Linked DNA regions of Caenorhabditis elegans. The protein of the gene in region 1 purifies or fractionates together with the protein of each later gene. This does not show direct contact. Each region holds a gene or a part of one and is shown in the gene's direction. Other genes may lie near its edges. The genes, in order: C04A11.2 and nhr-202.

Region 1 (5,435 bases):
TTCAACTTTATCAAAGATTTCCGTTCGGCAAAATCAGATGTTTCCAGTAGATATGTCCATTTTTTATGGTTATTAACAAGGCATACAATAGAAATTTGTTAGAGTTGATTCGGTGTAATACTGAAGGTGTCGGATATTTTTTTTTTCAAAAAAATAATAAATAAGTGTCAACAAGTCTAACAGAAACATGGAGCAAAATGACACATTTTTCGGAGTCGTACCTTTCATTTGTCAAATTTGACTTGTTTTGCGAATTGGGCAGGGGCAGTGCCAATATGAAGAACAATTTCATACAATTATACAATTTTTTAAGAAGAAAAACTGATAGAAAATCATAAAGAAAAAGTGTTTAGAACGTAAAAAAAATAAAATTCAAGTTCTCATTCTACATTTTGAATAATGACTTTCAGGCTTGAAAAAAAAAGAAATCGCAAATTTAAAATTCTAAGAAACGTTCCGGGAGTTTCATTAATTTCCTAAATGGTTCCCTGATTATTCAAATTTTACAACGGGTTTTTGAAATTTCCAATGTTTTGAATATACAAACAATAACTATTTTTTTGAAGAAACATGTTTTTGCCTACCGGAGCAGAACTTTTTTATTTCCACAACGTACAGTTCAAATCTAACAGGCCTAGAGATCGTCAATTTTCTTATCACCAAAAGAACTCCAAGAATGCCACTAATAACATTACGCAAAAAATCGATAAAATGTCGAAAAACAAGCGAAATGGTCAGTGCGACAAGGGGCGCAGAGCAAACGTGGCGAAAAAGGGTAAACAAAGGTGAACAGTGAAAAGAGATAGTAGAAAGAAGGAGGGAGGGCGTATTTGAATGAATAGTACGCAATTCTCATGTGGTGTGTTTGCGGACCTTGGCAGCGGCAGAGTTGTGCATTTAAATAGGGTCGGCTCCAAAGAGCACAATTAAGTTTTTTGGTTATTAATAAAATTTTAGAAGGGGAATAAACTTTTTTGTTACAAAACAAGTTTCTTATCTCACACTAGATATTTCTTGTCTTCACTGTGATATTTATTGATTTTTTTTGTGTTTTGTGTCAAAATTGAACTAGTTTCATAGTTCAACGTTGTTTAAATAATACTTGAAAATATGTTTTCCGTTGAACACGAAACGAGAATAGTAAATCTAGTGCCTTTTGTTTGAGAAAAGAAGGATAGCGTTAGTTAGAAATATTTTTTGAAAAGGGTTTCAAAAAAAAACATTATGCAAGAGTTAGAAATGATATTACTGAAAAATAATATATATTTAAAATTTGACAAGATTTTTCTTTTGTGTCAATTAGTAAGTTTCTAGGTAATTTTAAAAAAAAAGTCTAACATACCTTGTTAACGATACAGTCAAGTTTGATATTTTTCCACAAAATCAAGACTGAATATTTGCACTAGATGCGTTTAAATTTGGTCGTTCTTGTTTCATATGCTATTGATATTTTCAAGAAAAATTGTTTTTTTTTCAATCCCGTATTCAATTTCAAAAATTTTTCTCTGAATCGGGAACTTTGAAATCAACAAAATCCACACCGGATTTCCTTTGTTGACAAAGTTTTTGGAGTGTGTTTTTCTTTAGCTAGCCGTAAAGGGTCCTTAACTTGTAAAAACCTATTAATATTGTCGTATACATTATTGAATTCATTATTGAATTGTCAGGTTTCAAATTTGTTTTGCCGGTTCTTGTTTTGCACATTTACCTTCTTCCTTTATCCATTTCAAATCCAAGCCTAGCATTAGGACACTGTTCTAATTGGTTTGTTGGTATTCCTTGCCTCATTTCATTTTCTCCGTGCTCTCTCGGTTTCACACAGTCTATTACGTATTTAGGAGCTAATAGGTAGCGTCTGCTCGGACCAAGGACACAAGACCGCCTTCCAGTGCACCGCACCTGTCGTCCTTTTCTATCTCAATTCACTTCCCGGATACCAGTTCAGTTGACTCGGCTTACGGATCAAATATGAATCCAAATGACTCAATGACACTTTGGTATGTTTTAAGTTTATTAACTTTTAGAATTGTTTTATATTTCAGAATGATAATATTCTAAACGTTTTCTAAAATAAAAAGTTTACAAAAAATAAAAAATAAAAACACATCAAACGCATACAATATGACAATAATTATAATTTTTCCATGTAACTTTTAACTTTATTTTGGTTGAGCTCGTGTCACAGCTCTTATTTCCTTCGAATCGCCATCAAAATGAAATTCATGTTTTATAATCTTATTTTTACTAAATAAATTGAACGACGTTTTTAGAAAATCAATTTCAAACTATACGTTTTCGGCACATAATCGATATTTTCCAGGCCATGTCAGTCGGAGAATTCAAAAATATACATCACGTTTTCGTTTAAAAATTAACTTCTAAAAATGTGTCGAGTAACGAAAATTATCTAAACATGCTAAAATAATATGTTCTCAAACGTAAGCTAAACAGTATAAAAAGTTAAGGTGATTTTTTAAATACTTCATTGTCAATTTTAATTATAATTTCAGGAGCTCCTACAAAACCACTGAACAACGTATTGGACCCCTACCATCCACATCTACTCCGTTGAAAACTCCTCGATCTCATAGGTTACTTTTTTTACTTTTTTTTTTCATTTTTACTTTTCCGTTGATTTATGCACATACAACACTGACATAATAATTGCAGAGGTCCGGAAGAACCAAATGTCACTACTATTGTTGTGGATACTGAGCAGGATGAAAACAGAAGTAGGCTCTCCAAAAGTGAAACACGGCTTAGTTAGAGTATTTTCAGATTTGTGCAATTCAACGCAAAGCTTACACATTTCATGTCGCACCTGCAGAGAATTAAAGTTGGAAGTTCAGGAGCTTCGAAAAACTGTTGAAAAACAGGCACAATATATTCAAGTTCTCAAGAAATCTCTCAACTCGTATGTAGTGAACAAGAATGTCTCTCAAAAAATATTGTTTTTTTTTCAGAACAAGTGAAATGGATTCTTCTGAATCTCAACATGGAAATGGGTCAACAGCGAGTAGCGTCACAAAAAGCAGCACACGCGTCCAGAGAGTAACGCCCACCAAACGAGATATGGCATCCAGTGGCAGTACGAGCACAAGTAGTAGTACCTCAACTCCAGTCGTCAGAAATATTTTGCAACAACTAACAACGCCAAGGTCTGCTAGAACATCTACTAGAGCTGCATCAGGAAACAGAACACCTACTGGAACACCAAATATGACGAGAAACGTGAGGCCAGTCACAAATAGGACAAGCTCCAGCAACGTATCCCCAGCAGCACAAGTGACCGTTAGTTTTACAACATAAAAAGCAAACTTATAAAGTTCAGGCAAAATGGGAATAATTAGACAAGTTGCATAAATAATTTGTTTTGCTGTTCCTGCATAAACTAAGCTTTTTGATTTTTAGATGTTATACAATCGTACAGTTAGACTACGTTTTTGTAAAATTGAACAGACTTACTCCTATATTTATTTAATAATTTATTTTCAGCCCGGAACCTCTTCAAATCACCGGTCCAGACTTCCTCCAACGATCCGAGTGCCTCAATCTGAGCCGATTGGAACTCGTTCGCGTCCAGCAAGATACCAATCACAAACACTTCCAAGACAATTAACAGCTAACAATTCTAGAAGATCACAGTCTAGACGAAGGCTATTTGTGGATGAAGAAAGTAATAATGAAGATCGTAATGAGGAGCAGCCTGAAGTTAACCGTAAGTGGCGTAATTGGCAAACTTGAGATTGAATATTGATTTGACTGGTTATTTTGGAAAGTGAGACCTCAAATAAGGTGTAGGGCAAAAAATTAAAATATTTGTTACACCTTATGGAGAATGAATGTCAGTGATATCAGCAGTGATACCAGTGATATCAGAAAAATCATACACAGTTTCAAGTTAATTCTTAACTTTAGAATACCACCGCACACGCAGTGAAGCAGCAATCGAGCATCTCAACATTTCCCCAATGAAGGATGATCAGTGGGCTCGAGCGTGCCCGCCACGAATTCATCTCGAACGAAATCGCCCAGAATTCATCGAACGCGTCGAAGCCCGGCAAAGCATTATTCGAGCTGCGTCTGAGAAACGAGCAGAAATCGAGCATCGAAAACGAGTGAGTGCACTTCTTGAAAAGTCTTTGGATACGTTTTTTTTTTTTTTTTTTCAAATCGAAGACAATTATTTTTAGCTCGCAGCTAGAGCAGTGGCCAGTGGACAAAGGAGTGTAGAAAGTGTTAGCAGAGAGCTCTTTGCTGATTCAACGGCAGTCAAAGCTTTTTATGAGGAAGATATGAAGGAGATGACAATGAAGTATGTTTTTTGAGAACAATTATCTCAAAACAAAAAAATCCCAATTTTCAGAAATATTCGAAAATCCCAATCTTACCAAAACCGAATTCATCAAAGAATTGCCAATGTTGATAGAAAGGCCAATAGAATCATTGCACAAACGCATAGTTTGGTAGGTTGTTCACAATTTTTCCTTTGCCAAATGGTTGAAACATTTCAGAGAGCAAGATCCACTTCTCGATCACGATATCACCAATAACTGCTTCGAATCAAAAATGTATTGTCCTGTAAATTGAAAATGTTCTGTGCCATTTTGATCTCATTAAAAAGTGTTGTACATTCCAGCTTTTAGCATATTTTGTAATAACAACAATAGTTATGATTATTTGATTTTTTAATGAAACAAAATGCATTTATTGAAAAATAATGAGCTGAAAATACAAAGCTGTATGATTATAATGTTATGTTACAGATAGAACCCCCAACTGAAATGAAATTTTGGCGGTTTTTATTATTGCTTTGTTTTATTGAGGAACATGCTAAATTAAGAATCCGAAAAAAGCAAATAAAATGTTATGGTTATTCTAACATGATTATTTCAAACTCTATAAAACAAGAAAACAGTTTTAACTTGTTGTTTCTGTCAACTAACGTTCCTGACCAAATTCCTGACCGTTCCACCAAAACTGCAAAAATATCTGCACGAAGTGGGATTCGAACCCACGCACCCATACGAGTACCAGAACACCCAGGAGACCTCGTACTTGAGGCAAGCAATCGCTTGAGTCTGGCGCCTTAGACCACTCGGCCATCCGTGCTACGAAAGAGTATACTAGTGGCCTCGTACACATGCAAGAGTAACGGCAGAGAGAGAGAGACAGCGAGAGGAGAGAAAGGAAGGGGAGAGGGCATAACATGTGGTACACGTAAGATGAAGACGGGTGAAATAGTACCAAATACAATTTTAGGCGTTCGAAAAAAAAAGTGGTATTGCAAATATTTGGAAACTTTATTGTCAATAATTTCCTGCAACACTCCAAACATTATTACCGTCCAAAATATTGTATTTGTTATCATGATATAAGAGCATTTTTAAAACTTTGATGAATACATGTATTTCAAGCAATCTTTGATTCTTAAT
Region 2 (4,894 bases), on another chromosome or scaffold:
TTTTCATAAAAATTGTCTTTCCCGCCAAAATTTTCCTCGAAAATTTGAACTTCCCCCAATACTTTTATACCGACCACAACAAGAACTTATTGCCATGCTCCCGGAAACAAAGAAAAATCGATATTCCAGGGCTGCGAATCACCTATCAGACAACCGAACATCTTGAAAAAACTGGCTCTAGGCCTGGAAAAAATTCGCAGTACTCAGTGCAATGTGACAAAAATCCTGTCAAAATTCGGGAAGGACGAAGTTCTTGCAATGTGGGAAACTGATATGTTGAAGATTGCAAAATGGTTCACATATTTCGACAATTTCCAGAAACTTCCATATAATCTTCAGGTTTGTGCCGGTAGATCAAACTTATACTAATGAAAAAAAAAACTTTTGCAGATCGATATGATCAAGCAAGTCTGGGCTATTTGGGCGGCAATGGAAAAGCTGGCAAATACTGCAAATGCTAAAAAAAATTCCACATGCGAAAGTGCGAATGTTGTGCTTCAGATTGACGATGATTTGGTGGCCTGTGAACAGTCGATCGAGATCGATCTTTCCTGGTGCTCGAGTTATAAAACCGAGCAGTTGCAGTTGTGAGTTTTGGAATCCACAGCGGCCGACATCGATCGAGGCTTGCGATAAATGTCGGCTGCTTCTTATCATATACCCGGAGATCAACGATAATAACATTTTCAGCTTCGACTTTGACCATCAAGCTCAGCTCGAATATTTAGTGCAACTAATGGTAGATCTCAATCCAACAGACGAAGAACTCAGTTATATGCTATGCCATATTTGCTTCGAACATATCAAAAAATCATGTGACAGGTTTACTCAAGAAACCGTTGAGCAGCTTCAAGACACCCTTTCTGATCATTTACATGACTACTACATAAACCATGAAAACCGCCCGACTTACTCAGGAAGGATCGTTTCAATGATAAAGCTCAACAATGCTTTTCAGGTTTTTTGTTCTATGAATTCTAAAATTAACCTTTTTTTGAAATTTCAGAAGTACGTCCAGCGGGAACGACTGAAATGTGAACTGATGAGACTGTTCAAAGTGTTATTCGTGGAGTATTCAAATCCTGAATTATTTGTGGATTATTGGTAGTCAATGGAAGTGCGGAAGATCTCAAAAAATTATGTTTTTTTTTTCTAAAAAAAAATCATTTGTTTGTATCTCAACATGCTTTATTATTACGGCAAAACGACGAATAAAATATTTTAATTTGAATTTAACTCTGGATTTTAAATAGAATAAAATTTTGAATTTTGCGTGAAAATATAATACTATATTGGACATAATTCAGGAATTCCAAAATTATTTTTTTGAAAAAATTAGATTTCCGCGGTAAATTTCAGAAAAAATATTGAAGTCTAAGTTTCGCGCCGAATTGTTTGAAAATTTTGAATTTTGCGTCAGCTCTCGCCGAGCTATTTTTGAAAAAAAATTACAAATTTTTCGAAAACTTCAATTTTGCTGAAAATTAATTGAGAACGTTGAACCTTGCGCTGAAATTTCTGTAAAATGTTTTTAAAAAATGAAGGGTTTTGCTCAAAAATAATCACGCACTACAAACTACAAAAACTACAAACTATAAATAAACCATTATTTTTAAATTTAAAACCCTATGTTTCTTGAGCATTTAGAAGATAGTGATGCCACTTTTTACATTAAAGTCGACAAAAATTTTTATTAGGTCACTTTTTCCTATTATTATACTCTTTGATCTTTCAAACTGTAGGGCACCCACACATACACTACAAAATACGCGTTTTGTCCTTCCATTTTCTCTGCGCTCTCTTCAAAGTTCAACAAATAATTTTTTCATCATATGGTTACACCGATTTGAAAATGTCTTTATTTGATTTTTACGCTGGTTAATTTATGCTGAAACAATACATTAAAAATACATATTCCAGGAAAACAAAATGGATACCCCTTGCTCATCCGGCTCCTCACCACCGGACCTCACCATTTCTACCACTAAAAAGTGCCCGGTTTGCTATAAGCCGCCCCATGGGATTCATTTCGGAGCGTACACCTGTCGAGCTTGTGCGGTGTTTTTCAGGTAAATTTCTAATTCTAATATTTTAACAATATTTTACAAAATTCCAGGAGATTCGGAGCTTCAAACAATCTCAAGCCATGTAAAAAGAACAATGTTTGCGATTTTTACAAAAATGGATATGTGAGCTGTAAAAAGTGTCGATTAAAAAAATGCTTCGAAATTGGGATGAAAATTGAGAGTAAGGGATCTGGCTCCCTATTAGTACTAGTTTTTTTCAGACTTTCAATTCGAAAGGGACCCATACAAGAGAAGTTCAATATGCATCAGTCTAGCTGGAAGAATTCCACCGGTAAGTTGTCTTATAAAAAAACGGAAAATTGTTATTGAGACTGAAATAAGTGGCCCGACATCCTCCGGGTTCCACGCCTCACCATCAAAAACCCAAACTCAAGGTCGGGCCATGCACATACAATTTCCAGACGCTTGAAACATTCCTTGCTCGACCAAGCTTTATAATTCTCACTGCTCCACCAAAAGATGCACAAAATCCCAAGGTCTATATCGATGTCAAATTTTTGATTGACAAGTCCTACGGGGAGTTACTAAAGGCAAGATATTTCCAGCTAGTACAAGCTTTAACTAAAGTTGTGTACTTCAGGGCATTGAAACACCTATTCAAACGTCGAATATTTTGAAAAAGCTGGCTTTGGGTTTACAGCAAGTCCGGGGGTCTCAGAGAAAAGTAACGAAACGGCTAGAAAAATTCGGAAAAGATGAAATGTTTGCAATGTGGGAAAATGATATGCTGAAAGTTGCCAAGTGGTTCACCTACTTTGAAGATTTTCAACAGTTTTCTTCGGAATTTCAGGTAAAGTTTAAAAATTTTGCAATGTTTTGTGTACAAATTACAATAAAAATATTTTTTTATTTATAAAAATAAAAATAAATAAAAATATTTAGATAGAGATTATTAAAAAAGTTTGGATTGTCTGGAATGGTTTGGAAAAGCTGGCAACTACCGCCAAAATGAGAAAGCGGATGAATTGTGATGATATTCTTATGGTATTACAAATGGAAAATGATCTAGTGGCTTGTGGGAAGTCGGTAGAGTTCGACTTATCTTGGTGCTCAAATTACAAAGCGGAGCAGTTTGCATTGTGAGCATTATTTTAAAAAAATTAAATCATTGCCTATATATTAAAAAATAGTGTACGTCTGTTGACTACGTCATCAATGGGCGGAGCCTCTCCATTTGTGGCGAGACTCATCGTTGCGAGTCCCATCGTGGCGAGACGCATCAAAAGAAAAATATTTCGGCAGGAAACTGAAAATTTTCTAAGAATACAATTTTGGCGAAAAAATTAAAATTTCTGAGAAAAGTTGTTAGCGGGTCTTTCCAGAAAAATCTTGAAATTTCTAGAAAAATCTGGAAAATTTTAGATTTTTCTGGAAACTTCTAGAGTTTCCTACAATAATCAGGAAACTTCTAGAAATATGTTTAGAGTAATACAAACTTGAAATTTTGATTTTGTTCTGAAAATTAGCTGAAACTTAATTTATAAAATTGAATTAACCGAAAAAATTGACTGAAAAAAATTACCCGAATTTTTAGTTTAGTCTCAATTTGGCGGCCAATTTAAAAATGTTTTTGAAAAATCCAATTTCACTCTACAACTCACCAACTTAAAAACGTAAGACTTGAAAATTCATCAATTTTGTTTTACGAACTTTTCGAAAAACATTACTCTCTTACTATTTTTTCAGCATCGATTCAAATTGGAACAAACATGAAGAGCTGCTGGAATTGATGGTACAACTCAACCCAACAGATGAGGAACTTTGTTACATGCTATGTCATTTGTGTTTCCAACAAATTAGCAAACAATGTGACGGGCAAATACTTGAAGCCGTTGAGCAATTTCAAGATTCTATATCAAATCATTTACACGACTATTACTTGAACCATTTGTCCCGCCCGAATTATTCCGGAAGGATTGCTGCTTTGATGAAGCTTAATAGTATTGCTCAGGTATTTTATATTAAACCTTGTCTGGAAAAAACTCTGAAATTTCCAGCAATTCATCTACCAAGACCAAATAAATGTGGAGATTTTGAAAGTGTTCGAAGTGTTTTTTGTAAACTTTTCCCATCCGGAATTATTTATGAACTACCAATAACGAATTCATAATCTGTAAATAAACACCTATATTCTTGGCACATTTTTGCTCTTTTTCTAAAGTACCAAGTGCTCTTCGCACCTATTGTTTGCACTACAAACTACACTATATTATTCCACATCAGACATTTCTCGTAGAGTCTGCGTCTTCTTTTAAATTTCTCGTCATATGCTCGGAACTACCTTTACAACTTTTTTTAAAATCGGAGGTGCTTGTTTTAATTACTTTGAAAAATGACGTTATCTATTTTTTTTGAATCGTTAAACTTTTCAAAAAATATTATTTAGATTTTTCGTTTCTGAAAGAAAATTTGTTTGGAAAAATGTAATTGTTCTTGTTCGTTGACATTATTTTTAAACATACACAAAATCTCAAAATAGTTTTGAAACTTTTTTTTTTTGGATTTTTGGATTTTTAAAATTTTCATGTGTCATTTTGTTATTTTCAGCATCAAAAATTTCAGCTCATTTATGGAAAATCCGATTTTTTTTCTAAAAAAACCTGAATATTTTATTTTGTTCCCCAGCACTTTAGGATATTCCCCCTAAAGCAAGTAAGCTGTGTAAATACTACCAGGTCCATTATAACACCCGCAGAATACCCGAGAAAAGTCGGCAATTGCAAACATGTGGGGAAGAGACCAAAGAATCAATGTACTTTCTTTTGAATGCGTCTGTGTTTTGATGAGTTGAATGACGGAGACGATGA

The links.
Region 2: the proteins of C04A11.2 (region 1) and nhr-202 fractionate together in Caenorhabditis elegans (co-fractionation; one large-scale study listed by BioGRID). This does not show direct contact.

What each region holds. Positions count from the first base shown.
Region 1 is NC_003284.9:13,665,232-13,670,666, reverse strand, and holds C04A11.2 (uncharacterized protein), read left to right. Parts: upstream 1-1,838; 5' UTR 1,839-1,968; coding exon 1,969-1,997; intron 1,998-2,510; coding exon 2,511-2,591; intron 2,592-2,670; coding exon 2,671-2,732; intron 2,733-2,778; coding exon 2,779-2,914; intron 2,915-2,963; coding exon 2,964-3,291; intron 3,292-3,495; coding exon 3,496-3,718; intron 3,719-3,918; coding exon 3,919-4,118; intron 4,119-4,193; coding exon 4,194-4,315; intron 4,316-4,366; coding exon 4,367-4,466; intron 4,467-4,514; coding exon 4,515-4,553; 3' UTR 4,554-4,709; downstream 4,710-5,435.
Region 2 is NC_003283.11:460,671-465,564, forward strand, and holds nhr-202 (Nuclear Hormone Receptor family), read left to right. Parts: upstream 1-1,917; 5' UTR 1,918-1,929; coding exon 1,930-2,069; intron 2,070-2,116; coding exon 2,117-2,247; intron 2,248-2,287; coding exon 2,288-2,358; intron 2,359-2,488; coding exon 2,489-2,617; intron 2,618-2,667; coding exon 2,668-2,877; intron 2,878-2,969; coding exon 2,970-3,166; intron 3,167-3,773; coding exon 3,774-4,038; intron 4,039-4,084; coding exon 4,085-4,186; 3' UTR 4,187-4,293; downstream 4,294-4,894. Other genes in the region: nhr-203 (Nuclear Hormone Receptor family), read left to right, coding at 130-339, 391-587, 691-958, 1,007-1,108.